2 linked regions of the Rattus norvegicus genome follow. The protein of the gene in region 1 purifies or fractionates together with the protein of each later gene. This does not show direct contact. Links are inferred from orthologs where the notes say so. Each region holds a gene or a part of one and is shown in the gene's direction. Other genes may lie near its edges.

The links.
Region 2: the proteins of Bach2 (region 1) and Mafk purify together in Homo sapiens (co-immunoprecipitation; 3 studies listed by BioGRID and IntAct, with this or other methods). This does not show direct contact. The link is inferred for Rattus norvegicus from reciprocal best matches to the Homo sapiens genes BACH2 and MAFK.

Annotation. Positions count from the first base shown.
Region 1 is NC_086023.1:51,765,514-51,781,803, forward strand, and holds the end of Bach2 (transcription regulator protein BACH2), read left to right. Parts: intron 1-3,066; coding exon 3,067-3,273; intron 3,274-7,263; coding exon 7,264-7,743; 3' UTR 7,744-8,731; downstream 8,732-16,290. UniProt on the Homo sapiens protein: Transcriptional regulator that acts as a repressor or activator. Binds to Maf recognition elements (MARE). Plays an important role in coordinating transcription activation and repression by MAFK.
Region 2 is NC_086030.1:19,950,540-19,965,381, reverse strand, and holds the start of Mafk (transcription factor MafK), read left to right. Parts: upstream 1-6,189; 5' UTR 6,190-6,337; intron 6,338-8,095; exon of another isoform or gene 8,096-12,728; intron 12,729-13,542; 5' UTR 13,543-13,586; coding exon 13,587-13,622; intron 13,623-14,489; coding exon 14,490-14,842. UniProt on the Homo sapiens protein: Since they lack a putative transactivation domain, the small Mafs behave as transcriptional repressors when they dimerize among themselves.

The DNA of each region.
Region 1 (16,290 bases):
CCTGAGTTCAGGGCAGGCTGGCCCTATCCTTGACCTCTTGAGAACACAGGTTCGGCGCTCCACCCTCTGAACATAACAGAAAGTTGCTTTCTTCACTAATAAACCCAGGCCCACATGCTTTCTCTGATGGCTCTTTTTTTTCTTTTTTTTCTTTTTTTTTTTTTTTTTTTTTTTTTTTTCAGAGCTGGGGACCGAACCCAGGGCCTTGCACTTGCTAGGCAAGCTCTCTACCACTGAGCCAAATCCCCAACCCCAAGAAAGATTTTTTTATGTTGGGATAAACGACAGGTTCCTAAAATTAAACTCACCTGGATTGTTTTGACTTTTTTTTTTTTTTTTTTTTTTTTGGTTCTTTTTTTCGGAGCTGGGGACTGAACCCAGGGCCTTGCACTTCCTAGGCAAGCGCTCTACCACTGAGCTAAATCCCCAACCCCTGGTTTGAGTTTTCTTGAATCAAGCTCTCAGTATTTAGCTTTGGCGAGGCTCAAACTCTTAGAGATCCACCCGCCTCTGCCCCTCAAGTGCTGGGATTAAAGGTGTAACACACCACACCTGACACACACTTGCAAATTTAGTCTACAGGGCTGATGTTAGTATTAAAGATTAGCGGGGCACATGACATTTAGACTTACAGCGCCATCTGCTGGCCAAGACAAAAAATTGAATGTGAGAAAAAAGTAATGTGAGCTGGGTGTAATGACCTGGGCTGGCTTCTAACTCCACAGGCCTCTGAGGGTAGCCTTATGCCTGCTGCCTCCACCTCCTCCCAAGGGCTAAGATTGCTGAGGTTGTACCTTTGCAGGAGTTGCAGAAACAAATCTAACTGCAGAGGTCCCCACACCATCAGCACTGCCTTAGCAAGGGCAGAGAGAAGCTGTTCAACGTCACAGACCTGAGCCTCAAGCCCCATGGAGACTGATGAGACCCTAGAGATAGAAAGCCTGAGTTTGCATCAGGCACAAACTCATTGTTTGATTTTTTTAAAAAAATTAGGGTCTTCTGTAGCCCAGGCTGGCCTCAAACTCTATCAGTGTGTAGCTAAGGATGACCTTGAATCGCTAATTTTCATGCCTCCACTTCTGTGTTTATAGACAAGTGCCACTGCCTGTGTCAGCTCTCCGTAGGCGCTGTTCTTAGGAAATAATACATTCCAAAATCAAACAACAGAGAAGACACCCCCAAAGCCAAAGCCGTGCCATCCTCTCTTTACTGTTGTGGAGATCTATTTATTTATTTATCTGTATGTGTATGGTTGTGCATCTGTGTGTTTGTCTGTCTGGTGCCAACAGAGGCCAGAAGAGGGTATTGGATCCCCTGATACTGAAGCCACAGATGATTGTGAGCTGTGGAGTGGGGGTGGGGTGCGTGCGTGCCCTAGAAATCAATCCTGGGTCCTCTGGAAGAACAGCAGGTATAAACTAGCAAGCCATCTCTCCAGCCCCTGCCGTCTGTCCTCTCTTTTAAAAATATTTACCTTGACTTGTCAAGGACTTAAAAGCAGGAATTGTGCCTAAACCTCAGTGGCTTACAAGAGCAGTGGTCATTGGACAGCTCTCACACTTCCTGTGTGTCAGGAACTGAGCTGGCCCCTGTGAGCATTTCTGGCTGAAGTCAGGTGTTGGCTGGGGCTACCGTCCTCTGCAGGTCTCTCTAGCTTCAAGAATTCACTTCTGGGCTGGCGAGGTGGTTCATCGGGTCAACGGTGCCAGACTAAGTGTGTATCCCGAGTCTGGTTCCCAGGGCCCGTCTAACTAGAGGAGAGAATGGAGTTCGAAATAAACAAACGAATCTAAAAAGCAGTGAGTACGCTTCCATCCACAGGCCACTGCTGTGAGCTAGAGCAGGTTTGCCCTCCCGAGCAGCCAGTGAGACAGGACGAAATAGAAGTCTCAGTGTCCTTCACGGCTTAGCCTCAAGAACACACGACGCCATCCACTGAGGTGTGTTCCGCCGAGGTGTGTTTATTAGAAGGAAGGAGTGTACAACCTGACAGGAAGAACGGAATTATACCGCGATAGAAAACGTAATTCTGGCTAAGTGCCTAGCATCACACTGACCTAAGAAGCTTTTATACCTTGTTTTGCACAAGGAAACTGGGGTGCAGAGGGGCAATGCCACCTCCCCGAACTCTGCTGTGTGAGAACTAAAGCCCAGCTCTGACTCCTCCTACGCTTGTGTTCTGTGTGAGTAAAAAACGACTCTTCTCTGACTGGTGCATCTTTCCAGAGTTTCAAAGACGTGCTGGCCCCAGTCCTCCAGGTCTTTACATCAGTCCTCAGAAGGTCACTTTGGCCATTCTGTTGAATTCCAGTTGTGCGTCTTATAGAAGAGGGCTTCAATAAGCCATAGTCTTCCTCACAAAAGTTTTACAACATTGAAAGAACTAACAGTTTCCGATATTTTCAATGCCATTTGCTTTAAAAAAGAAAAAAAACTCGGGAATGACAACATCACAATCTGCATGAGCTGCTTTGTGCGTTTTGTGCAGTGTGTGTGTGTGTGTGTGTGTGTGTGTGTGTGTGTGTGTGTGTGTATTGAGGCAAGGTCTTCCTGCTTACTATGTAACCAATGCTATCCTCAGATGTCATGGCAGTCCTTCTCTCCAGAGTAGTAGTATTAAAGTTATACACCACCAGGCTGGCTTACTTGTGCGTGTTAGTACTGTTTGATTACACGAATATTTCATCTTACTTGTATTTGAAACAAGAGTATTAATCACGACTTGTTTTCTGTAGTTCCCCTATGATTTGCTCATCTTAAAAAAAGAGGTTTGGAAGGCTGGAAAGATGGCTCACGGGTTAAGAGCACTGACTGCTCTTCCAGAGGTCCTGAGTTCAAATCCCAGCAACCACATGGTGGCTCACAACCATCTGTAATGAGATCTGATGCCCTCTTCTGGTGTGTCTGAAGACAGCTACACTGTACACAGTATATATAAATATAAGAAATAAATTTAAAAAATAAAATAAAATAATTTTTTTAAAGAGGCTTTACAGTTTTGGTGATGTTTCACTCCAAAATTTCGCTCCAGCTGCTATAATCCCGCTCCGCTGTTCTCGGTTTCAGGTTAAACTTCCTTTTCCTGTCGATCAGATCACAGACCTTCCCAGGAACGACTTCCAGATGATGATTAAAATGCACAAGCTAACCTCAGAACAGTTGGAGTTCATTCACGACATCCGGAGGCGTAGTAAGAACCGCATTGCGGCTCAGCGCTGTCGGAAGAGGAAACTGGACTGCATTCAGAACCTGGAATGCGAGATACGAAAACTGGTGAGTTGGCGGGCAGGTATTCAGCAACCTCGAGTGACCGAGACCGATGTGAAGTTACATCAGTTACAGCTGGAGAAACAGAGGGACAACCACCCTTCAGGAAAACTTAGGCTTATTCTCAACCGGGGTCATAAATATGCATCTGAAATGTACGTAGAGGTACTCAGATCTCTCGGGTGTTGTGTGGAATTGGCTCCTCTTTGTTTTTCCATTTGTATATCACAATAAAGCGTGTCTACTGCATGCATATACAAATCAAGTGTTCTTCTAAACTAACTCGCTACCCAGTCGCCTGGTTTTGATAACTAGCATGCTGGTCCATGTAATTGCAGGATTCTGAGCAAACAGCAAAAACCTGAGCACACTGCTCTTTGCCAGGCGAATGCCTAAAACACTTTACTGATTCGTTCCTCTGAAGAAGCAGGACAACGCTGTTTATTCTCCATCGGCATCTTCCAAGCCTTAAATAATACGCTGTACGGTTTGTTTTGCTTTCTAACGCAGTGACCAAAAGTGCCCATCATGAAAGGAAGTCAGGGCGGGAACCAGAGGCACAAACCGATGCCAAGGTTATGCAAGAACTCTTCTTATTGGCTTGTTCTCTGTGGCTTGCTCAGCCTTCCCTATACACCCCGGGGCCACCAACCCAGAGGTGGCACCACACACAGTGGTCTGGGCCCTCCCACATTAATCATTAATCAGACTTGTCTACAAGCCAGTCTGATGGAAGCTATTACTCTAGCTTGTATCAAGTTTTTTAAAAAGGCAACACACTGCACCTCAGTGCTGAACTAGAGCTTCACCTCTTCATTACGTTCATCTTAAGAGATTTGCAGTCAGGCGTCTTTGGCTTTGGTTTATTATCAAAATATCTTCCTCTGTAGACCAGGTCGGCCTTAAATGAAGCCCTCTTGCCCCTGCCTCCCAGGCGCTGGAGTTATGGGTGTGTGCTACCAGAGTTCCATGTTCTTAACCAAGACAACATCAACAATACATCCTTCCTTTTCTAAGAGAAGCTAGAAGCACGTCATTTGTGGCAACGTGTTTCCTTCCGCTACAAAGTATACAGGAGCACTTTTGAGATGAGTGGGGTTAGTGCCTAGACAAGGACTTGTGGCACAGAGACAGGAGATTGCTTTCCTAGGACGCACTGGCCCTCACTTTTAGATGTCCAGGTTGAGTGGAGAGAGGGGCAGGTTGCTGGGCCCGTTTGCTTGTGTCTCAGAGGAGGGGATGGCTTGAGTGGTCAGAGCCAGCCAGCCTGGTCTGCTGCTGCATAGTTCCCAGCATCCCTTCTGCGATGTCTCCCGCAGGCTCGCCACCCTCATTTGCAGATGCACATAATGTATTTCTCTCAAGCTGCACTCGTACATCTGTTTATTTTTCATTTTTAAAACATGTTTTCTAGCTAAATTTATAAATATTTTAGCAGGTGTCCTTTCCGCATGTAAATCTCTCTCTAACACACATACCCACGCTGCCTGCCAGATTGTGCCCACGTTAGGCCGTGCACAGCTCCTGTGTCAGAGACCTGCTCCTCTCCCTCCTCTTCAGTTTTTACCCCCATCCTTGCCTGGGCTTGCCTGCAAGACTTGCAGAGGGCTGGCTACCACCCTCCCCACTGCATTAGACACCCAGTTTCTTTGGCTGCTTTATCTGTGAGCCTCACGAAGCCTCACCACACCTCCTCATACAAGCATTGAGAGTAAAACTTTAATTACTCTCCTCTCTCAGACTAAACTCAGCTCTTTGTGTGGGATTATTCTTAATGGGAAGAACATCTTAGAACAGTGGGCTACTGTGCAAAAGCATAGGACCCACCTTTCTGTCCCTAGCCTCTCCATCCAGTGCCCAGGGATGACCCCTGCTCCGGATTCAGTGCACGGTTACCAGGGTCCATCAAAGGATATGTTCTGTCCAGTCGGTTGTGCTGGAAAAGCTGGAGAGTGTGATGGTTAGGTCTAATTGTATGAAGTTGCTGATAAACAGTCTTGATTACTTGGTTGGTTTTTGTTTTTGTTTGTTCATTTGTTTGTGAAAGGACTCTCTTCTTTATAGTCATTTTAAATTTCTAGCAAAATTAAATGAAGTACCTAGAGTTCCCAGATGTCCCAAGCCAAGGACCAGCCTGGGCTTGGAGAGGGGTTCTGAGAGAAGGGGTGTCTGGGAGCTTTGAAAACAAAACAACTCAAAAGAAGTCAAATTGTGGGTCAAAGCTGGTGGCCTATGCTCTGCTCGAGACAGCTTTCCAGCCTGCTTTCTCTCTGTCCTGCTTTCTTTCTCTCTGATCTGCCTTCTCTCGAGATCTCCAGACAGCTCTATTATATTCTGCTTGAGACATTTCTCCAAGCAGTTCTCTCTTGCTAGTCTAAAAAATTCTCTGGACAGTTCATTTCTTGCAGATCATAAGCCCAGTCTTTTATTTCATATCAATCCAGTCATTTACTCTAGGTTTCCTTTTTGATTATCCTAAGAATCAGCATCCATTGACCCTAGGTGATTAATTCTTAGGAGACAGTGAGCATGCATTTTCTTTTAATGTTGAAAAGGCAGCAGATCTGCCTGCCTCTGCTAAGCACAGATGAAAAGCAAGCTGGGTGGGACCCCATCCTGAAATTACTATTTCTACCATACCTGGGCCTGGACTCACTGTATCCCAGGCTGACCTGAACTCAGGAATATGCCTGCCTTTGCATCTGCCTGTCTTTATGACTTTCTGACAAGCTGGCTCATTGATGCAGCTGCCTTTGTTCCTTTAGATCCATGAAGCCTTCGTATAATTCATATTGTATCCCTAATTTTTGCATAGTTGAGAAATTATATATTTCTGAGCTCTGAGTCTTTAGAGTTCTTTTCCATAGCCTTAAGGGCTGTCTTGAAGGTCCCATCGTTCACTGTTTTTCTGAGACATTAATTAGCCATACCTTTGCCTCCCGGACACATGCTATCTCAGATTATCATGGAGTCATTAACGTTAACAGGGAGGACATGCCTTGAAAGAGGAACGTAAAATATGTACATTATTCTACAGACAAGCCTTATGCCCACGGCAGCCATGGGCATTCTTAGAGGCCCACGACCACTGGCCCTGTCCCAGGGGCAGGGACAGTGCCAATCTGTCCCCACCAAGGCCATGGCAGACCCAGCAGTCCCAGACTCTGGTGACTCCAGACAAGAGCAGTAGTACATGTATTATTATGGACAGGCGTATGCTGCCATTTCGTTTCATCCAACACCACTGCTTTACCTCAGAGCTCACACTCTTTAGTGAGTACTATATGGAGTTTCAAAGGGTGCTGTCAGTGCCACTGTGTACAGGGCAGATTCACTGCCCTAAAGCCTACTGTAATGGCTTAGCCATCTCCCCTTCCCTCAACCCCTGGCAGCGCTGACTTTTTATTTTTCTTTTTTTGTCTTTTTCAAAATATCAGTTACTCGACTTTCACCCCTCAAATATAGTAACCAGGGTTGGGAAGTTTTGGGGGAAGGATCTCTGAGGTCAAGGCCAGCCTGGTCTACAGAGTAAGTTCCAGGACATCCAGGACTATACAGTGCAGAGAAACATCTCACACACAGACACACCACCACCACCACCACCACCACCACCACCACCACCAAAGAAAAGAAAAAGAAGTAACCTAATGTATTAGGGGAAGATTTTCAGCTATCGGGTTTGAAACAAAACGTTTCCAGTCAGTTCCCTGAAAACCCCAAACTCAGAAAGCAGAATGTCATTTGACTCCCTACAGCTTTGCCATTGGGGGTACCTCAACCGATTGCTTCCTGGGGCTCAGAGGAAGGGATGCCACACTGGGGAAGCTGTGTGACAAGTGGTAAGGCGAGCACTCCCTTCACAGTGTGTCTTTTAACTTCCTAAAGGTTCTGGCCTACTCTTTCCGGAGTTAGGTTACCGTGTAAGGTCTCAAAACAAAGCCTTGGAAATGAGGCTTTTGTGCAGGTTTCACGAAGGTGTGTCATTCTCTCTCACAGGTGTGCGAGAAAGAGAAGCTGTTGTCCGAGAGGAATCAATTGAAAGTGTGCATGGGGGAGCTACTGGACAACTTCTCCTGCCTCTCACAGGAGGTCTGTCGAGACATCCAGAGTCCAGAGCAGATCCAGGCCCTGCACCGGTACTGCCCTGTTCTCATACCCATGGACCTTCCTGGAGCCAGTGTTAACCCCCCTCCCTTGGGGGTTGAGCAGAGCCTTGCGCCCTCCCAGTGTGCAGTAGGAGGAAGTGTACCCTGCTGCCTGGAGCCAGGGGCAGCTCCCCCTGGGCTCCCCTGGGTGCCCAGCAACACCTCTGAGAATTGTACGTCTGGGAGGAGGTTGGAAGGCAGTGACCCTGGAACCTTCTCTGAAAGAGGACCTCCTCTGGAAGCCAGGAGCCAGTCAGTGACGGTGGACTTCTGTCAGGAAATGACTGAGAAGTGTACAACAGACGAACAGCCCAGGAAAGATTATGCCTAGCCGCGATCAGCTCTGCCCCCCGACCCCCGGTCTTCACACCTCTCTCATCTGAGAGTGCCTCTGCCAGCCAGGGGCACTGTTCATCTGTGTCTTGAAGAACCGAGAACGACGAATTTGGTGCACACTACAGCAGTCTTAGCAGCAATACTGTTCCGAAGTATTCCCTCCTCTCTTGTAAGCAGGAGTGCTAGTTACCTTCCTAATGGTGCTACCCCTTGCCCTGGCAAGGTAGACAACAGTGCCGACACTGTCTGTCTGTGGGTTAATTGCAAACTTCACAGGGATTAGACTACACCTCTAGGACCCAACCACGGATTTTTTTTCTCAGTGGCCCATGTCACAAACCCTATCTCAGGAATTTCTTCTGAATGTTCAATTTTTTTCATTGAAGACAGCTTCTATACACATCAAAGTTTTATAGCTATACTGTGTACATAGTATATATAATATATATGAAATATATATCCATATGCAAAAGTCCTGCATGCCTCGATTTTCTCAATTTCCTGAAACTGGAAACTTCACTTATCATTTACAAACATGTCCCAACATTCCTCTTTCTGTGTCTGATGCCAGAACTGGTTTTGTAGCTGTTAACATGGTTGCTTTTCTTGCTGCACAATTCGGTTTCTAATCTGTACTTATTTACAGACCAAATTCAGCATCGGAAGTTTCTTCTCAAGGTTCAGTCTCAGACCTTTCACTTTCGTTGGTTTGGTTTCGGCGCCCCCGAATGGCATTGGGTGAGCATCGTGGGTCTGTCCTTTCCTCCTCGTGTTTCCCCCTCGTCCTTGCAGATACTGCACAGCAATGGTCAACTTCGCCACTTGCACTGAGTTTTGAGTCAAACCTATTTTCTTAAATGAAGTTGTAACTTCGGTATAACTCAAGTATATTGTATATTCTTTGCTTTCAGTTAAAGAGGTAAAAAAAAACATTTTAGCTAATTAAAAAGCACTCAGGTGATAATTATGTAGGAAAAAAAAAACAATCTTGCCAAATAATGAACCCATCCTAGGATGTGTAGACAATAATCTGCTTGAATATTTTTGTAGCTCACTTCCTCCCCCACCTCCCCTGCAAGGGAAGCGGAAGTGCAGATAATTCAGAGCTGACACTGGATGTCCCGTTCCTATGAGGGGAAAGAGATCGCACGGCTCGAAGGACTGCATGTCAAAAGGACAGGAGCCTGTGGTGTTGTTAGAACCCCACAGGCACTGGTGAAGAGAAAGCAGTGGAGAACCAGTTCCTTGCAGGGGGAGGGGGATCCCTCTCATTTCAGCATTTCTTTCCGGCCTCTGCTTATACTTTTGCTCAGAAACGTCATGTGATAGGACCTGCTTCTTTGAAGGGCACAGCTAACCCACCACCCGGCTTTCCTGCCCAGGTTTGGCTTTCCCACATTTTAAGACCTGAGGGGATTTGAATGACAGCCTTGGCTTTCAGTAGCACCCCCCAACCCCCACCCCCACCCCTGGAGTAGGAAATAGCATGGCAGAATGGAGCCTGAGATCCACAAGAACATAGGCTAATGCCTTCTTTCTTCCTTTCATTCTTCAAATGCCCTCTCGGAGGTTTTGCTCTGCCCCCCTCCCCAAGTCTCTTGTCTGAAAGCTGCTGCATCCAAGTCATTGGACAGACACCCTTAGGAGCCCTCTGCCCCCTTTTCCCAAGCCCTCCGCCCCTCACCCTTCATTTCCCCCTCCCCAGGTAATAACCTGCTTCCTTTGCTAAAAACCGGTTGGTTACAAATCTGGAGAGCAGCTTCCTTGGTCCTAGGGTATCCTGGTCCAAACCGTGTTTACAGAAAGGCATGCTCCAAGGAGGAGTCAGCTCCCTTCTCCCAAATGGTCTCTATCTCCTTTTGCTCAGCAGCCCGGAGACCACTCCAGCTGTGCAAGGTTGTCCAGAAAAGTCTGATATTGGGATAGGGTAGAGGGTAATGGGAACTAGATGGATGGTTGACTTTGTTTCTTCATCTGTGCCATTGTTTTGGACAATATTAAAGCTGCATGTAAAAGGGGAAAGTAATGTATGACTTGTAGGCAAAAGTGAAACCCTAGTGACATATGTTCTAGTATTATTAACTTCTTTCTGTACTTATAGTAGTGCTAAATGTTTAAGTATGTACAAATGCCAGAAGTTGTTGATCCATGCAGTAGAATTTAAGGGGAAACTTATTTCTTTTAAAATAGGTCCATTTTTTAAAACCTGCCTCTGGGTTTTGAGTGTGTGTGTGTGTGTGTGTGTGTGTGTGTGTGTGTGTGTGTGTGTGTGTATAGATTTTGATACAGCTGTGTTGGAGCTCCATCTTTGTTACACCATTGGTACTTCCTGGTTCCCTGCACCAGGTGTGTCTTCATGAAAAGCTGGCAAAGCCGGCATTTAGCTCCATGGGAATCATGTGATGCTCACAGCTGCCTATTACGGTGCAAGCGTCAGCAAACAGTATTTTTTTTTTTAAACTCTCTCATTGCCTTTTTAAGTGACCTCTTCTAAAGAAACAAAAAGGCTTGTTTTCTGCTCAGGCCACCGATAGCCCAGAGGAGCCTCTCTGCTTGTTTTATGCTGTTCCAGCTCCTGGGTGGCTGGAAGTCTTGCCACATTCCACAGTTTACCCCCTAAGTCTCTGTTGCCAGTAGCTCAGACCTGTGGCAAACATTTTCCATGGGAGGGGAGTCCGGTCTCCTCATTTCTCTCTGCCTCAACTCAGCCCTCATCTTCCTCATTTTCTTTGCCTCTTCTGCCCCCCACCCCCAATCTGTGCCATGATTTCAAATTACTCTTTAAAAAAAAACTTATTATTTCTGTGGTATTTTTAACAGGTAATTTCATTCAGTATCCACCAGGAACAGCAACTGGCTTTGGGTAATTACTCATGGGACGTGTCTGTGTCTCTTACTGTTCCAAACAATTGCTCATCAAAATTATTTCTGAGTTGATTCAAAGGGAGGACTCACTGGGGTCCAGAATATAAGTTCTTCAAGTGGAATTCGGAAATCCCCAATCTGTCCTTCCTGGGATCCCTCAGTCAACCTCATTCCCCCTATGGAAAAGAGAACGAAAGAGAACAGAGGAGAGTGTTTGAGTTTTAAGGGGACATTTAGTTGTGTGTTTGAAGATCTTTTCTTTCAAAGATACAGGATACTCCAATCATAGGACTGACATGACTGCTTGGTTGGGTCTCCCAGAGGCTGGGGTGTGAATGGGTCATGGTCCAGGGCTAGCACCCAAACACAGGCCTCCCCCTGGAGCAGCCTCTGTCCTCCTGGTCTCTGAATAGCCTCCTTCAGGTTACCCAGGCTGTAGGCAGGTGTGTGCTTTGCCGTGTGTGTTTGTGTCTCTGCGTTATCTGGGGGTGCCTTGGAGAAAGTCAAACTTCGTGACTTACTGATTCTGGAACAAAGCATTTTCAAAAAACTTTTCTAAAGTTGGCAAAGCTACTAGGTCATCCTGCTACTTCCCTTCCAGGTTCCCTAACAATGACTCAGGCATCAGGGCTGATGCTGCAGTAGAAAGCGTTATTTTTAATGTCATACGAGTAATTTATTTACTGTCTTTCTCAAGGTATGCTGCTTTTTAACATGCACTATAATTTTGGATATAATCCTTGCACTGCTTTTCCAAGGAAGTTTAAAAAACGGCTAGTAACTAGTGTGCTAACTGCCTCTTCTCCTTGAAGGAGCTACAGAGCCACCAGAGGACCTGCCTGGAGGACTGACTAAAGCCTACACTTTTCTCTTGTTTTAATACTTTATGATGGCCACTGAAGAGGAAAAGGACAAAGCAGACAATGGTTTGAAAGTATAAACCTTTCACAAATCGCCCAGTCTTGCCCTGGGGGACTGCTCTGCGTCCCGTGGAACACATAGTCCTCCAAAATGAGTCGATCTGTAAAGCTCCTTGGAGTCTATTGGATTGCATATTCCTATACACCTCGGCCCTGTTTAAACCAGGAGCTGTTATTGATGACTTCAAACGACTCCACTAGTGCTTACAGTGTGGGGGAAATCTCAGATCTAGAAGAGAGCAAGAGTCAAGGTTTACCCTCAGATCTCTCTCTACGTCTATCCTTCCCCCCTCCCCATTCCCCTTCCTTTCTCCCCATTCCCCTTTCTCTCTCCCCATTCCCCTTTCCCTCCCCCTTACACACACACACACACACACACACACACACACACACACACACACCAGACTAAAGAAAGAAAATGAATTATTTTAAAAGAATCAAGCTCTGTGTTGTATTCTTAGTATCTACTTGAGGATTTTGTTGCAGATCCCATTTCTGGCAAGTCAGTCCACAATGCCTCGTGGGGTTGGTATTCATAAAGGAAGTCTGTGCATGGAGATATTTTGTGTTCAAAATGTATAATACTACCGGAGCCATCTCACGACCCGAGTGTCAAAGACTGATGCTGTAGCATAGGATATATTTGTGCATAAATAGCGTGTGCAAATAGTACTTGTACATTGAAGAGACTCCTCGTAGCAGATCAAAGGTAAATTATTCAAATGATGGTGCAGAAACATTACTTGCAAAGTAATTGTATAGTATTTTTCCTACACTCCACCCTGGGAGATCATATTTATAACAAGTGAATTATTAGTGCATTTTAATTGTAATATGAAATGATGCTGCCATTTCGTGAACAGTATCCCACTTGGTTGCAGAGGCCCAACTTTTATAGCTTTGGTTTGATGTTGTGGCATGGTGTATGCGTTTCTCTATCAAGCAATGGATAAACTCTTGGCTGTCATTTTCATTCCGGTTTATTGACCTCAGATAAAACAATGGCTATTCGTGGAAGTGTATCAAGACCACTCATTTCAGGTAGACTCACACTCAGTGCCAAACGCTCCCATGGGAATGACCAGACACCTATATCAGGAAAGAGTGAAGGGACTTGGACAAAAAAAAAAAATGGGTTTTCCTAAAGATGGGTGCTAAACTTCTACCAAACACGTCTCTGGGGACAAAGAGTTGGCCTCCACTTGGGTCCTAACAATGTCTTTTGGCTGTGGCAACGCTGGGATGCCCATTCACACTCTGACACGAGAGCCTGGCACTTGTAACGAATTATCAGGAAGATTGCAGATGCATTTGGGAGCTTCGGGGACTCATTAGACACGGTGAGCCATTCAAGGCAAGAGGGCCTGTGAGAATTTGTTCCAGAACCAGTCTGATGCAAGTGCACCTCTAATATATGCCTTACAAACTCCAGAGGCCATATGCAAAACAGGGTCTTCTCAGTGTATGCAAGGGGCTGCGGCCCCTCTTCTCCTCCTCCCCAGCTCAAACAATACGGACAGTTTTCACACATATCTACCTGTATAACCCTCCGTACCTCTCATAACTGGTCAACGACTGTAACAGGTTACATCAGGTGTTTTTTCTACATACTTTTTACACAGATTCTATGCGATTAATGTAACTTAATTCAATGCATCATTTTATTGTACAAGTTCTTACGCTTGGCCTTATTTTTTTTCCTAAGTGATTGTGGTTTTTCTTGTGGTTTTTTCTTGTGGTTTTTTCTTGTAAAGATATTGAGATGGCTGTTGATGCTTATTCTCTGTAACTAAGAATTTTTACCTTTTTGGGAAAAAGCATTGCTATGGATTAATGAATTGAGACTTCATTTACTCGTTGTAAATACACTATTGTGCAAAAAAAAAAAAAAACCCTCTCAACTGAATTGCTAGTGTTAATTGAATTTTTGTCTAGACGCCATTTCTGTTAACGAAATAAAGACATATCATTCTACATTGTCAAAGCTTCTAATCCCTGTGTTACATTCTGCAGAATAGACAGCCTCAAGAAATGTTTCCTCTGCCAAAGGTCATTTCTCATCCTCTACTTTGGACCCTCCCCTGCATCCCAGTTAATTAGATTAGGAATCTTAAGAATTTAACCATGCTGTTTTTAATCTAAATCTTTAAAGTCCCCATTGCACTTGAGATTAGATATTGAACATTAGAACCACTTCCAGTTTCCATATTCCCCTGTAGCTATGCAATGGATAAAGAATGTTGCCACGGGTAAAGAACTTTGTTTTACAACTGTAGATGGATCTACAACAACATAAAGAAGAGGTGACAAAATAGATAAATGAATAAATACATAAGGCCAGGTGTAGTGGCCCCTACCCATGTCCAATTACTCCTGAGGCTAAAGCAGGGTCTCAGGAACATACAGGGTGAAGACCAGGAACATAGTCAAGCTGTCATCAACAACTGACGTGAAAGAAAATCAAAGTATAACACCAAACCTGTGGCTAGTGTCTTCAGGTTTTATGGAAGGGGAAATGTACACCCGCCACATCGTGGGTAGACCAGATGTCTGTGAATAACACTGAGCTCATGCTGCAAGGAGAGAAACTACCAGTAGAGGGCAGGTGTGATCTACCAAGAGTAATGAATGTAACCCGATACCTATGTAATCCTAGGTTCAGCAAGTATTGTCCCATCTCCCACATGGGAAAACCAAAAGGCTCCAGAACTCTTCCTCAGAGGATATCCTAGGCCCTTAATGAGTTAAGGATGGCTTCCTTATATACTGTAAACTACTAAATCAACCATGGTCAGATCATCTTAAATTTGAGAAATTGACCAACTGCCTACCTAAAGATCAGGGAGAGTTGGCAGCCATGTTCATCTCCACCCTTGGCCATTGGCTTCTGTGGCAGAATAAACCTTCCTGATTGTTCCACCCTGCAGAATTTCCCAAGCTTTGTCATGCCTCTGGCATGCAGCTGGTGTTCCTTCTATGCCTCGAATGTGCTTCTCATTTAATTCATGTAATTCATATCTGATTCTAGACATAATGAGAATCTCCTCCCCCTCCATCGGATCCTGTGCCAATTCTTATTGCATTTGGAAATAAGGTTTTGGGGTTTTAAGATTTTTATTTATTTATATGAGTGCACTGTCGCTGTCTTCAGATACACCAGAAGAGGCCAGCAGATCCCATTACATATGGTTGTGAGCCACCATGTGGTTGCTGGGATTTGAACTCAGGACCTCTGGAAGAGCAGTCAGTGCTCTTAACTTCTGAGCCATCTCTCCAGCCCCTGAAATAAAGTCCTTTAAAATTCCTTTAGAATATCTTACCCAAAAAAACCTACCCATCAGAAAGGATGCATAAAACAAGGTTCTATTTGAGCTTTTTTTAACAGCAGCTGGTGTCCTGAGCAGGGGTGAGCCCCTATAACCTCCACCAAGTGAGCCCCTTTGCCTTCCTTGTAACTAAGCATGATACAATCAAGTCCTAGAGAGAGAAGGAAAGCCACACATTTCTGTGAGCAAGCATCCTTCCCTTCAATTTCCTCAATAGCATCTCACCTCCTCTCCTCATGCACCTCAGACTCTGAAGATCCTGATACAAAACTACCATGGCCCAGCCTAGTCTGCCAGGAAGATGCATTACTTGTTCCTGGCTACTTGTTCATGGCTACTTTTGACTCTTACCACCCAAAGGCACATCCCTCTCTAAAGCAATGAGCTTTGTCCAAAGCAGTGGCTGGAATCCTCCTGACACCAGTGCTGGGAGTCACTGGATGTACTCTGTTTGCACTTCAACTCTGTCTTTATTTTTTATCCACACCATACAGTGAAAATGCTATAAAGGAGGTCTCCTAATCAGCCTGCTAACCCTGATAGGACAATGGAAAAAGAATATGGAACTGGAAGTGGTGGGTAAGGTATTGTCGTCAGTGCCTTAGGATTTCTACTGTTTTGATCAAACACCACGACCAAAGAAAACTGAGAGGGAGAGGGTTCATTTTGCTCACACTTCCACACCACAGTCCATTTTCACAGGAACTCAAGGCAGGAACCTGGAGGCAGCAGTTCATGCAGAAGTAAAAGAGTGCTGCTTCCTGGCTCCCTTCTCGTGACTTGCTCAGCCTGCTTCCCTATAGCACTCAGAACCACCAAGCCCAGGGCTGGCACAGCCCACAGAAAGCTGGGCCCTCCCACATCAATCATTAATCAAGAAAATATGCCACAGGCTCGCCCGCAGACCAATCTGGTGAAGGGATCTTTCTCAACCGAGGTCTCCTCTTTCAATTTGACTCCAGCGTGTGTCAAATTGACGTGAAACTTGTCAGCACAGTAGCTATATATAAGCATGTTAGTCAACCAACACTAGGCAACATGCGTGCATCCATTATTAAGAGTGCATAAACCTTATCCTTAAAGCAGTCACAAGCTGGTTGAGCAGGGATGTATACAAATAAATCATCGCTTTTTCAGGGCTTTTAATTATCACAGAGGACAGCGCATGGCTTCCTGAGGGATCCGTAGGTAGCTTAGTCTGGGTCTGGATCAATTAACATTTCCCCTTCGGGGACCTTTAGACATGGAGGACATTACTTAATCTTTTTGGAATCTTTAATCTAAAAAAATGGAGATGAATCATAATGACTTTACACACTTATATGAGGAATAGAGAATGTGCCTTGAGGACCCGGGATGGATTATATATTTTAAAAGGTTGAGCTGGAGAGAATGCTCAGTGGTTTAAAGCACTAGCTAGCCGCTCTTTCT
Region 2 (14,842 bases), on another chromosome or scaffold:
ATCAGTTTTTAGTGAGGTTACTAACGGGACCATGGGTGGATGGTTACTCATGGAGCAAGGATGACCCAAAAGGAATGCATCACCGAAAAGTCCACCCCGACACGGGAGACAGCTCAGAAAAGCTGCAAGCTATCTGCAAGACGCACAGGCAGCTGCCGGCCTGAGACTCTGTCCTCTCCTAGGTCTGCTGGCCACATTCCTTCCTGGCAGTTACTGATTCCTTTTATAAAATCCAAGAGGGGTCTTTGAGGGGCTTCCAAGTTTTCACTTTTCCAGACATGGTGACCTTTCGTTCACCTCCGCGAATCCCTTGAAGGAGGTGTTTTAATCCCAAGGAAGCCGCCATGCAATAGATGCAGTGGCTCCCACTTATGAGGCAGAGACAGGAGGATTACCTGGTGTTCTAGGCCATGCTGGGCTTCAGGGGTTTGGGGGCACAAAAACAAACCAAGGGCTGGTGGTATCTCAGAGGATAAAGGCCCTTGCCACCAAACCCAATGACCTGAGTTCAATCCTCAGGACCCACATGGTAGAGAGAACTGAGTCCTGAAACTTGTCTTCTGAACTCCACACATGGGTAGCAACACATGCACACACACACACACACCATGCATATACATATATATACACAACATATCACCCACCCATATACCAATACATACACACACATGTAGTGACAGATACATGCATATGCAGACATACACATATTTACACCACATACACGTATACACATACACATATATACATACATACATGTAGTGACACACATGCATATAACACATACACACATACACATACGTATACACATCACACCATACACACATATACACATACACATATATACATACATACATGTAGTGACACACATGCATATAACACATACACACATACACGTACGTATACACATCACACCATACACACATATACACATACACATACACCACAATGTATAGATACACACATGTAGTGACACACATGCACATGCATATATACACATATATATACACATACATACACATATATACACCGCATTACACATGCATATATAAACATACACCCCTAACATACATGTACACATGTGTAATAACACACACATACATGGATACACATACACATACATACAACATATCACACATAATAAACTGTTAAATCAAACAAACACAAAAAAGACAGACCAAATGTTAAATAAGGTGATTGTGTCAGTGATGTCTTAGTGACTAGTCATGGCTATTACCTGGGGTCATGGCTTTAAGCAGGGATTGTCCTATGCACAGGCCTTGCCTCAGAGTCCTGGATATCCCCATTCTGTCATCAGCAAGAGGAGAAAAAGGCCCTGGCCTGCTTTGCAGAGAGAGGACACTGTGGCTGTAAGCACAGTGACAGGTGACGCATTCATCATCTTAGGAGTGTGTGTGTGTGTGTGTGTGTGTTTGTATGAGTGCTGACTCAGACGTGTGCATGTGCGTGAAGGCCAGAAGTCAAACACACCCATCGTTCATCATTCCTCAGAGGCCATCCACCTTATTTTCTGGGACAGAGTCTCTCACTGAACCTGAAGGTCATTGGTTCAGCTAGACTGACTGGTGAGCCCCAGGAGTCCTGTCTCCGTCTCCAGGCTCAGGGATTGCTGGCACACGCTGCTGCACCTGGCTTTTCCTGTGAGTGCTGGGGATCCGAGCGCAGATCTTCAGGCGTGTGCCACACACACTTTATCCACGGGGCTATCCGTCTCTCCAGCCACTCCCTAGGACTGGCTAGAATTGCCTCAACTTGTAACTTGATTATTTGAGGGACACTGATGCAGTTCTGATCACAATGGGACTCCGGGCAGGTTATGATGCATTTTTGTAATGTAGCCCAGGCTGGCCACACACTCACTAGGTAGGCAAAGATGACCTTGTACTTATGATCCTCCTTCCTCCGTTTAGTGCTGGGATGACAGACGTGGACTTCCCACACATGTTTGGGACTAGTGATGGAACCCAGGGCCTGGTGTGAGCTGGGCAGGGACTTTACCAGCTGAACTACCTCCCCACTCTGGGAGCACCTGTCCTCTACTGGCCCCTTAAACTGAAGGGATTGTCATCTTAAAGTGGAGGTCATGGGCAAGGTTATAGTGACCATGTGCCCAAAGCCATGAAGCTGGACAAGGCATTAGGAGCTTTTGAAACCTAAACTCTACCCACCCCCTTCAGGCCTGCCTCGCTCCTTTTCTCTTCTCGACAGCCGAAGACGCCTCTGTCCAGTAGCCAAAGCCAGTGAATGTCTTTACCCCAGAAGCTAGCATGGATTCCCCGTAGCTCTCCCTGCATCCCCTTTAGAGTGCGGGGGATAGGACCTCACTACCCCTACTCTTTTGGGAGGGAACTGGACTCAGAGAAACATCCCCGAGGACATAGTTGTAGCTGGACAAGTGAGCAGCCTGTGTCCATTCATTGATTCTCCCCTGTGAAGGTGAGAGGCAGTGCTAGCTAAACACTCATCCATATTCAAGCAGCAGGCAGCTCTTGCACTGGTAGGAACTTCCGTCTACACGACACTAACTCACACGCCCCGGCAGCCAATGATGCCCCATCAGCTCTGGGAGGCTCGTGTTTCCATATCTACAGGGACACCATACAACACCGTCGAATCTGGCCTCATCAAAGATCCAGTCTGCATTTTCAGGGTTCCGAGGCCCTGGGAAAAGGGTCTTTAGGGGTACCCACTGGGCTTGTACTAAACCACTCCTGTCTGTAGCCTTACTGCTGAATGAACTACGTTGCTAGCTTCAAGTTGCCTCCATTTATCTGGCTTTACCAGAGCCATCTGAGTTCCTACCTGCGCTCTGGACAAAGGAGTGTGGGAGGGCACTTAATCCTCCCCAGATGCCCAGCCTCCCTATGAACATAGATTGCCCGAGGACCAGCCCAAAACAGCTGGGATGAAGGGTGTGTCTGGCTCTACGCCTAGCGATAGGACCCCTCCCAGGGCAGTAAGGGACAGATTTTCAGGGTGTAACCAACATCGCCTCTTCCATAAAAGCCATTATAAAGGGAGCGTTTGTCTGGGCAAGCCAAGCCACCACCGCAGGTCTCCACAACCACAACTGAACCCGTGTGAACTGGGTCGGGTAAGCCACCCGGCCATGACCCTGAGATTCAGGAGGTGTAGACAGGGGGACTCTCGCATTCCAATGTCTTAATAGATAGCTCAGGTTGTTAAACTCATGAACCCCCGCCTCAGCCTCTCAGGTATTGGTATTACAGGTGTGCGCCATCAGTGCCGTCTGTGGCTTTGTGTGTGTGCACGTGCTTGGGTATGTTGAGGCCACAGGGAAAGCTCAGTTGTTGTTTCTTAGGTGCCACCCACCTTGTTTTTTGTCACAGGGTCTCTCACCGGCTTGCCTCACCCTGAGGACCCTCCTGTCTCACCTCTCCAGTGCAGGGATAACACATGCACACCCACCACATCTGTTATTTTTTTTTTTTATGTGTACGATGTTTAGCCTTCATATATGTCTGTGTACCATGTGTGCCCGGTGCCCTTGAAAACCAGTAAAGGGTGTAGGATCCCTTGGAACTGGAGTTACAGAGTTTAAGAGCTGCCCTGTGAGCCCCGGGAACTGAACCCAAGTCCTTTGTAAAAAGAGAGAATGGCAAATGCTCTTAACCATTGAGCCATCTCCCCAGCACCCCACCTTTTAATCTGGGTTCTGGAGTCAAACTCAAGTCCTTGTTCTTGCCATGCCTCTATTTTTCTGGATTTTTAATTTTGAAACAGGATCTTTATATGTAGTCTGAGCTGTCCTGGAGTTTGCTATGTAGACCACGTTAGCCATGAACTCACAGAGATTCTCCTCTGTCCCCCACCCCCTGCCCAATACTGGGATGAAAGGTTTGAGCCACCACACCTGGCTTTTGTTTTTTTAATCTCTTGCTTGAGGGAACTAAGGAGAGTAAGATATCCTAACGAAAACTCTATGGGAGTAGTCTTACAGAGTCAGATAAGTGCCACCAACCCCTACCCCTGGGACAGTCCCTCGGAGAGGTCCAGTCCCTTGGAGAGGTTCAGTCCCTCAGAGAAGTCCAGTTCCTTGGAGAGGTCCGGTTGGAACTCATCCATGGAACTCTTGCATGGATGGCGGGAGGTGTGTGAGGATGCAGGAAGATGTCCTTCAGATCTTTGAGGATAGCTCTGGAAATGTTCTGGTCACGTGGGCATCATTGTCCTTGTCACCGATGTTGTTTCTGAGCCGGTTGAGCTGCTTTTGGCAGGTCGTAGTTGACACTGACAGACCTGGACGGCTCCCTTTAGTGGCAAACACCAGAAGAACATTTAGGAGCAAGAACGGATTTGAGGCCCTTTGCGAGAGGTCACAGTGCCTGCAGCACACTGAGCACGGAACTGACCCCACAGAAAACCACGGGTTTCCGGGTACTTGTGCCTGTTGCTCTCCAACGTATTTCCAGAGTGCCTCATGGATTCACTCTAAAAAGTCCTGGGAAGGCACAGTGTCTGGGTTTGAGAGCCATAGGGATGCTTCCCGCTCACCCGGTTCTCAGACCTGAGCATCACTTAGGTCTGAAAGAATGTTAAATTGCCTCCCCTCCAAGGGTAGCAGGACCCACATTCTGCAGCTCTGTCCTTCTGAGTCGGGGAGAGGGGGATGACTCCCATGTAAGGACGTCTTGGGACTCCTAGGCAAGTCTAGGAATCAGACTGCTGCACTGAGCTGGAGTACAGGAAGTTCTGTTTTCTCTTGTCCCCCACCAAAACCTATAGAGAACAACCATGTGTCCACGCACTCCCACATCGGAGAGAAATGGTTTTCTGTCTGTGTGTTGTGGCTGGAATATGCTCGGCCCAGGGAGTGGCACTATTTGGAGGCACTACTTGGTGGACTCATTGGAGTAGGTATGTTACTGTGGGTGTGGGCTTTAAAACCCCCATCCTTACCTACTGGGAGTCAGTCTTCTGGTGGCCTTCAGATGAAGATGTAGAACTCTCAGCTCCTCCTGCACCGTGCCTGCTCCCACCTTGATGACAATAGACTGAACCTCTGAACCTGTAAGCCTGTCCCAATTACATGTTGTCCTTATAAGAGTTGCCTTGATCACAGTGTCTGCTCACAGCAGTAAAATCCTAACTAAAAACATCCATTGTTTACAGAGAGAGAGAGAGAGAGAGAGAGAGAGAGAGAGAGAGAGAGAGAGAGAGAGAGATATGCCAGGGCAGGCATGGTGTTGCATGCTTAGAACCCCAGCACTTAGGAGGAAAAGGCAGAAGGATCAAGAGCTCCAAGCCAGCGCCAGGGAGGTGGCTCAGTGGGCAAAGACGCCAAACGTGACGACCTGAGTCAATCTTCGAAACCCAAAAATGGAAAGAAAAAAACCAACTCCCTAAAGTTGCCCTCTGACTTCCACACATTCGCGGTAGCCATGTGCACACCAACCCACATACATATGAACACACATAAATAATTTAAAAAAAATTAAAGTGTTCCAGGCTACTTACTCTAAGCTGCATTGTGAGATCCTACCTCTGTCTCAGACTGAGAAATCAAAAGGTCATGGTATGGGTCAGAAGAGGATGCTAGGTACCTGCCCTGCTGATTATGTGATGTAACTGACCCACTTCCCAGTGACCGGCTCACTTCGCCATCTTGATGTGAACTTGGTGTTACATCCAGAACATGGTCAATAGCCACTTGGCCTCCATTCCCTCTGCCAAGACCCGGGGAGGGTCCAGCAGCTGCGACCTCAGGATCACAGTGGTTAGCGCAGATGGCAGTGGGTGGCTTAGGCATAGAGACATACATAGTGCTCAGGCTGAAAGTTCAGGAAAATTTGGGATGCACACCCAGTGTGCGTCACGCTCGCCTGTCATCCCCTACCTTGGTAAAGTAGCATAGACCCCGCCCCGGGTGTGCTGGAGATGGACAGGGCCAGGGGCTCAGCAATGAGACAACTGCACGTGGAAGGATCTAGGAGGAGCCAGGGACTGGGGCAGCAAGGGGAGTGGTCATACGGGGGCGTGGTAACGACGGGCGGCCAGAGAGGGCGTGGTTTTGGTGAGCGAAGAGGCGTGAGCAACAGGGGCGTGATCACTAGGGGCGTGACCATCGCGGGGGCGGGACGGTGACGCGCTTCGACGCGCGATCCCGGAAGCGGTGTCAGTACTGGGGAGCCGGCGGCGGGCGGCGGGTGGCCGGGACTTGTTGTTCTTTGCCGAGTCGGAACGAGTAGTCCGAAGCGCGCAGGCGGAGACGGCGACTGAGGGGAGCGCGAGAGCAGAAGCGCGCGTGAAGAGTGCGTGTCTACAGGAGCCGCCGCGCCCGGCCCCGCGCGCGACCCGGGTGAGTGAGGTGCTTCGGGTACTGGATAAGGGGACCCCGAGTTCGCGCACCTGCGGGAGGAGCACCCTGAAGGCCGCGGGACCCAGCCTGGGCCTCGAGCACGTGCCACGCAGGACCTGGCTTAGGGCCCACGCGGGACCCACCACGTGCGGGAGAGCGGCACCCGGGAGCCGTGCGCACCTGGCCATTTCCGTCGGCGTAGGATTCCCCCCTCTTTCCCGGCCGCGACCCTGAAAGGGCCTGAGTAACTGGTGTCACTTTCTAATCAGCTGACCGGCCAGCGGTGCCGGATGTGGAAGCTGTGGGTGGGGAGCGAGGCAGGTGACCGTCTTGGCCAGCCTATCGCTTCCGTCACTTTCTTCAGGTGTGGTCTGGGGCTAAGGTCTCATCCAACTCTGAAGTGAGAGATTTCCCTTGTAGGGTGAGCGTTTAGTTGTATTAAGAGTGTGCGTGTTAAGAGTGTGCGGCGAGAAATCAGAAGCAAACTCTAGCAAATTACAGGTGAAGAAAGCCTGGTGGGTCCTAAGTGCCTAGATCTCTTTGCGGGAGAGAGACTCCTCTTCTGGCATCCTTACTCATGGAGATGGCAGCCACTGTAGCCTCCCAGAGCTTACCCTGTTCACAAACAGTCGGTATTTGGGAGGCCAGGCAGCTTGATGCTTTTACGCTGAGCCTCGCTTTTCACACAGCTCTTACTGCTATCACAGATGCACTTTAACAGTTCTCCCTCCAATCGATGGACAGGCACTCACGTTTCTCTTGCCAGGTGCATCCAGTCCCAAAAAGCTGGCTTGTGTCACAACTGGTAGGTAGTTCAGGACTTCCCTTTCTGTGGAATTATTAAAATTAGCCCTTGGGACCTCAGGGGCTGGCATTGCTGAGGTCCATTACGGTGGCAGCCACATTCCAGAAGGTATCTGGTGGAGTGCACGTGGGCACTTCGATGCTTTGAGCTGGTATTTTCCAAGTCTGGTGTCTTAGGGCCAGGTAACTTCTTTCAAAGGTGTTGATCTAAAGCCATTATGTTATACATGCTTGTAATCCTAGCCCTTGAGAGTTTGAGGCAGGAAGATCTTGAGTTTGAGGTTAGCCTGAACTGCTTAGCTAGTTCAAGACCAGCCTCAGTTACATAGGGAGACACTGTCACAAAAAAGCAAAAACAAAAAGGTATGAATTTAAGCATGTGGATGGAGTCAGGAAAGCTGTAGATAGGCAGGATATATCTGCAGCCCATGTCAGGGACAACCCTCACTGAGGATAAAACCTTCTTCGATCCTTAGATAAATCAACCAGAGAAATGTGGTGTCTGACCTTGGTAAAGGAAATAAGACTAATGTGATAACTTTAAACTAAACTTCTTGATTTATTAGAGCAAAAAACAGAGCCAGGCTTTGCTGGAGTCCATTCTCCTCTTGTTCTCGAACTGAGCTGGGCTTTCAGGGCTCTGTTCCAAGTTCAGGGCTGTGTACTTTCCAGATAGTTGTTAAAATGGGAGTCGGACGGAGGGTCCTGGGAAGCCATGTTTTCCCGGGAGTCTGCCCTTTCTCTAGCACTCTCAAGGCTTCTGGTGAGTCTTTTCTGGCCATTCTCTCCTGGAGACCCTCAGTTTTTAGTCCCTTGCTTTAGCAGCCCAGGGTTTGTTTACGGTCTCTGGTAACTCTTTCTTGCAGTCTAGACTGAGAAGTTGTGTCTGTTTCTGCCCCACTGTTCTGAGTCTAAAGGTTTCTTGGAGTGGACTTTCTGTATCTCGGGTCTAGTCCACACGGGAAGTGGAAATCAGGCCAGCTGGGAGAATTCTCTGTGTAGCCGATCTCTGGAGCTATAAACAGTGACTCATTCTCCCGCCCCACCCTCCCTGTCCCCTGCTCCGGGAAGATGCCTGGTCACTCATATTTACTTTTGCTTTTTATAAGTCACACATGCGTTTGTGTTTCCTCTTTCCTGCAGTTTCTGGAAACTGAAAGTGTTATCTGACGACCCATAGAGTTTGATGGAGGTAGACCTGAGCCCCGGTGATCAAACACTACACTGTCTGGTGTTCAGGAGGGTACAGCTTCGCTTGCTTGATGGCCTCGCCTGAGGTCAGAGGTCAGGGTTAGAGGCTTCCTGCTCTTCCTTGGGGCCATGTGGTATGGTAGGCGGAGAACACACACCCTTTACTAGGCTTCCTTTCCAGAGTCCCTGCCTCTGTCTATATTGCAGACCTTTCGTAGAGCCTTGATACCCTGAAGGAGAGCTAGCATCAGCAACACAAGCAGTCTGCTTGGCAGGAGCTCATTGTGCATGGAAGCTGCTGAAAGAAAGTTCTAGAACCAGGTCTAGATCCAGGGAAAATGCTGACTCCCCAAAGACAGCAATTAGGAGGGCTTTCTGGAAGAAGTGGAAATTGAAGATAGAGTGGAGACCCCTTGTCTACCACAGCCAGGAACACTCATCAGCCAGAGTAGGAAGGAAACCCAGGTAGGAAGCTCAGAAGGGAACCCCAAGTCGTAGATTTAGCTGTAGGACAATGTTCGAGGCACCAATATCAGAACTGGGGATCTGGTACACCAAGGCTAGGGTCCAGAAAGAAGCTGGACCATGCTTGGGGCTCGGTAGGTCAAAGCTGGTTCTACAATTCCAGCACTTGGGAGGCTGAGGCAAGAGAAGGTCAGTCCCAGGCTAGCTTGGGCTGTATGAGGCCCCATCTTAAACAAACAGGTCTGGAGAGATAACTCAGTCAATAAAATGTTTGCTTGAGCTCACATAAAGATGTTAGATGTGGTGGCATATTCTGTTATCCCAGTGTCGGGGAGGTAGAGGCAGGAGCATCACCGAGACTCTCTGGTCAGCTAGCGTAACCTTTGTGATTAGTTAGATTCTGGGCCCCTGAGAGACCCTGTTTTTAAAATAGTGAGGTATACACAGTGAGGTGCTTGCCATCAAGCCTGATGACCTGAGTTCAAATCCCCAAGGCCCACATCGTGGAAGGAGAGAACTGACTCCCAAAAATTATCCTCTGACCTTCACACCCACTTTGGCAAGTACACACACACACACACACACAGTCTGGACTTAGCTGTTTCCTGGGCACATCCCCACTGAAACATGGAGTAGAAGGTGACTGAAGCCCCAGGACCACCAGGGATGGCACAGAGCCCTAACACGGACCGGGTATCAGAGAGGCCACTCAGTCAGTCAGGGAGAGGAGGTCAGGTTAGAGGCAGAAGGAGGGCAGCCACAGTTAAGGGAGGTGTGCCATGCAGCCTGCTGTCAGCCTCGAAGCTGCTTGAGTCACCTCTGCATGTAACTGGGATGACACAGCTTCCTGAGATTGCAAATGCAAGGTGACCAGACGTCCTCTAGGCTAGGCAGACAGTTGTGGCTTATGGGAGGGCAGCCAGCCAGCCAGAGCTGGGTGGAGATGCCCAGCCACGCTCTGTGGGAGGACAGCAAACTGAAATCTTAGTGGTCTGCAGTGGCAGGAGCTCATTGGACCAGCTGTGGTGTGTGTTTCATCAGCATGTGGCCACTGTATGTCGGTAATGTGTTAGCTCCATGTACCCTCAGGGTCCTGGAAAGGGTACTTGGCTCTGGGTATTTGTGAGAAGCTCTTGAGCAGAGGTGGCCACATCCTTAGTGGCTTTAGGTTCTGTGGCTCTCAGCTATCTGGGGCTTGAACCTGTTTTTTTGGACAGAATAGGTCTTTCCCTCTCCTCATCACCCACCCTGCTCCCTTCCCCCATTCTGGGAGACCAGGAACCTGAAGAGCACACATCCTGGTCAGCTGGATTGGGGGCTGCAGTTGCTGTTACTCTGCGGAACCCCTGGGTTGGTATCACAGTTGCAGCAGAGTGAGGTGTGTGACCCAGGTTACGCACTACCCCGGGGAACATGGAGACCCTCTGAGACTTTTTCTGGTCCACTGTTGCACTAGTAGCAAGGTCTCTGTAGTTCCCTATCTGTTTCTCCTTTGGACCTGGCCATGGTCCTCTTTGCTGTGTGCTGGGACTGCCAGGATGTTGTGCAGGAGGGAGGTGAGGCTGTAAATGCCCCCAGTAGTGCAGTCAATGCAGTGTGGTGCTGGGGAACTGCTTCCGGAGTGAAAGTAGGATAGGAGATGCATGCCTGGCCCCCCTCCCCTCCGGAGAAAGACAGTCTGCTAGGGCCTGGGCTACCTGCTGTCTCTGGGCGCCAGGCTGGATTCCCACGCTCTGTGGTGTGCCTCCCTGCTCGTTATGCACAGGGCGTCTTCTACCCCAGTCCATCCTGAAATGGAAGGAGCTGGGCAGAGGAGGGGGATCTTCCTAAGTTGTCCAGGTTGACTTTGAACACACTCTGTAGCCCAGGCTGGCCTTGAACTTGTAAACTTCCCAAGTTCTAGGATGACAGACCTGGTTTGGCCTTTGATGGGTAGGGTGGGACTGTACCCATTGGCTTGGTGTATAAGGGACACACTGAGTTGCTGAAAATCTCTGTCCCTTAGATCGTCCCCCCATGATTGCCACCAGGCAGAAGGGCATGCCTCTGTCTGACTCAGGGCCAACGTGGACCTCACCTTTCACCTGGACAGACTTCTACAATGTTAGTCACGAAGGCTGCAGTCAGAGTTAGTTTGACAAGGGGTACAGGTGCTCCTGCTGAACAGAGTTCCAGGAACTGGACAGGGTGGGCTGGGGTAAACACATTAGCTCAGTATAAGTCAGGACTCCTGAGTGGGGGCTTCTCACTACTTGTCGTCTCTGGGATCTTTTCGCTCACCCTCTTTTTCTGAGGAAATGACCCCGAGCATTGGGAGGTGTTGTCATTTGTCCATGGCTCTTGGGGTTTACTTATTTTTAAGCCAGCTGAGGACTGAGGAAGGGTCCCTGAATGCAGCAGAAGCCCATAAAGAGGGTGGACATGGAGAGAGCCAGGGAGGGGCCCTTCCTGCTGGCCAGGTGGCCTCCATCCAGTGGTCAGTTGACTCTCATGGGGTCACCTGGGGGCGTAAGCCCCTGCCCTGTGCACATCCTGGCCACCCGGTGTCACGGTACCATCACTATGGGGGTGGGGAGATTCCCGCCCGTCACTAAGCGCTGGCCTGCACGTCTCAGCACCCTTGGGTCTGAGTTGAGTCCCCCTTCTTCCCCGGCACCTTCCTTTTCCGCTGGCAGTGGCCCCTGGGGCCCGTGAGCATGCGGGTGGGAGGGGTGTCCTTGTGTGGGAATGTGAGCCGGCTCTGTAAACAGCCCGTGACTCACCACATAGCTATGTCACTGACGCTGGGGTTGCAAGTTGGAAGAGATGCCCAACCCCTCCTCCCTCCTTACACGGAAAACTTTCTCAGGGCTCCTAGGCGCCTGGCTTCTGAGAGCTCCTAATGGAGCTAAGGAAGCCCATGACTTCTCTGGTGCCGCTGTTCCCTAGCTGGGGCTGGAAGGGGTCTGTGGATACTACTTTGCCCACATCCCCATGTGATCTCTTATCAACAGTAGATCACCCCGACAAGCCCTTGTCCATCTCAGGTCCCAGGGGATACTGTGACAGGTCCATGCTGCTTTACCTAAGCTTCCTGGCCCTGCCCCTGTCCTGGTCTGCTGACTGCCTACTGAGTGTGACCCGTACTGTCACCAGGGTACTACATTCATTACCAGAGTCAGTACCTTGTCTCTCGATGGTGGCTTCCTGGCAGTAAGGGTGGTAGGCAGTGGAGACAGGATCCCATCAGAGGTGAATCACAGGGTGGAGAGATGGAGCCTACAGGTCCCCCACATTTGTGGGGGAAGGTACAGTGGAGGTCATCCACTGTCTTTTTCATACCTGTTCTCCACATTCTTCTTTTGTGTGATTTCCCTAATGTTCCCTGTTCTGTGCCCATCTTTGTCAGGGTTTGAAATACAAGAGGTAGGGGTGTATCCCACCAAGAGCTGTCCCTGCCCCTCTTACTCCTTCCTCAATTTGTCAGGGAATTGAGTGGTTTTGTTTACTGCCTGAGAACCTCGTGTTGTCTTTCTGCACAGGCTTGACCCACAAGTCCCAAATGCTTTTGGGCTTCTCTGTTGCCATGGCAACTGTGGGGGGTTGGCTACATCCCAGAGTCGTCATGGCAACTATCAGAGGGGAATCATGCTTGGGATGCTTTGGCTGGCTTTTTCATGAATGATGAGGGTGTGTGACACAATGCAGACTGGAGAATGAGAAGGGCGGGCAAGGGGGCTGGCGGGTTGGCCATGGGGACAGGGCCTGCCAGACAGCCCGGTAAGTCTGCCAGGTGGCTGGAGTTCTCTGCTGGTGTCTCTGGCTGGATCCTCTGAACCTACTACCCACCAGTAGCCCCCCACCCTACCCATAGGGACCTTGGGGTCACTCTGAAGGGCTGGGATGGCCTGGGAGGAGTGGTGATGTCACAGCTGCAGTGTCCTTCACGCTGGTAGGTGTCCCTTGGGCTATAGGAGGGTGGGGCTGGGGAGTGGCAGATATTATGTACCCCATCTGTCTTGGGGGGCTGAGGGGGTAAATGAAATTTCGGGAAATAGCCTTGTTCTCTGCCTAGTGAGCCAGGCTGAGCCTGGGACAGCAGGAGCTCTTGCTAAGGAGCAGACACTGTCCCAAGGCCCTCCTTCAGAGTGCAGTACTGCTGCTTATGGAGCCAGCTCTGCGGCTGACAATCCCTTTGGTCTTGAGATGCATGCAGCACCTGGTATCCCGGGGTGTAAATGTCTTGTCTGCGTTCAGGGGGGCGCCTAGAGCAGAAAGCAACAATGGGTCGTGAATAGCAGTTATTCCACAGGGCTGTCGGTCTTAGAGTGCGCTGGATGGGGGAACCAGGGACCTAGGGGGTCTGTCTGCTCTAGGGACTGATGCTGAAGCACGAGGCGGGGTTGGATCTCATCCCCCCTGTCAGACAGAGGCAAACTGAGCGCCTGCTCCAGAGCACTTAGGGCAATGGTTTTCAACCTGTGGGTCGAGACCCCTCGAGGGCATCAAACAACCCTCTCATGGGGGAGTGGTCACTTAAGACCATCAAACCCCACGGATACTTACATTATGGTTTATAACAATAGCAAAATTACAGATATAAAGTAGCAATGGAAATAATTTCATGGTTGGGGGTCACAAGAACGTGAGGTACTATATTAAAGGGGTGAGAACTTTGTAAAAGGCTTAAGGGCAGGCCTACCCCATTTCCAGTGCTATTACCCTAGCCTGCCAAGACCTAACCTACCATTTCTGTGTCTTTCCAGCTACGATTTCCTGGTGGTTCCGTCCTGGTGACAGGGCCCGGGTTATGACGACTAATCCCAAGCCCAACAAGACATTGAAGGTACGGCGAGCAGGGCCAGCATGGGCTGTGACTGGCACTGCCCTGCATGGCACAGGGACAACTCATCCTGCCTTGGCAAAGCCCCCCTTTCACAGCACTGCCCTAGAAAATGAGGTCAGCTTTGTCCTCAGGAATTGGAGAAAGATCGGGGAAGGAGAGAGGTGGTAGAGTGGCCCATAAGAGCCTGGCCTTGTCACCCCGGGAGGCTGCTCACAGGTAGGAGGGTGATAAGGCAGATGTGAAATAGATACTAGCTACCTAGGGCTGCATCCAGACGCTTCCTCTGCCAAACTTGGCCCCCCCGCCCCCCATGCCAGGTGAGCATAGTGGTGTCCCTTCTACCAGCCCAGGTCCTTACTGTGTGATGTCACTGTCACCAGAAGTGCTACTGAGTGCTTCCTTGCCTCAGAGGCTCCCGAGGACTGTGTGCTGGGTCCCTTGAGTGAGCCCTGACCAGCCAGATGCAGACTTTGCTTCAGTGGGTGGATGTCAGGGAAAGACAGGCCACAGGGTCACCCTGTCCCTCACCTGAGAGCGCTTGGTCAGAGCATCTGAGGGGCAAGGTCCCAGTTCCATGTGTCTCTAGAAAGCTTTACAAAGTTGACCAAGACCTTCCTGAGGGAATGGCTGTCAGGTCCTCCCCGTTCAAAGAGGTGTCATAGCAACAGGAGCAGGGCTGTCTGTACACATCCTGCCATGGGCATAATCTTGGAGTCCCATGCTGCCACCATGGTAGAATGGGAACAAGGAAGGGTGACAGGCACTGCCGGGCCTTTGTTGGACCAGACTTTAGCCTTTGGTGATTGTGTGCCAGTTCCATGAACCCTGTGCGCCTCTGTTCTGACCGCTTCTCATGTGGCTCCTTAGGTCAAGAAGGAGGCGGGCGAGAACGCCCCTGTTCTTAGCGACGATGAGCTGGTGTCCATGTCGGTGCGGGAGCTGAACCAGCACCTGCGGGGGCTCACCAAGGAGGAGGTAACTCGGCTGAAGCAGCGGCGGCGCACACTCAAGAACCGAGGCTACGCCGCCAGCTGTCGCATCAAGCGCGTGACACAGAAGGAGGAGCTGGAGCGGCAGCGGGTGGAGCTGCAGCAGGAGGTAGAGAAGCTGGCTCGTGAGAACAGCAGCATGCGTCTGGAGCTGGATGCCCTGCGCTCCAAGTACGAGGCCCTGCAGACCTTCGCACGCACCGTGGCCCGAGGGCCTGTCACACCCACCAA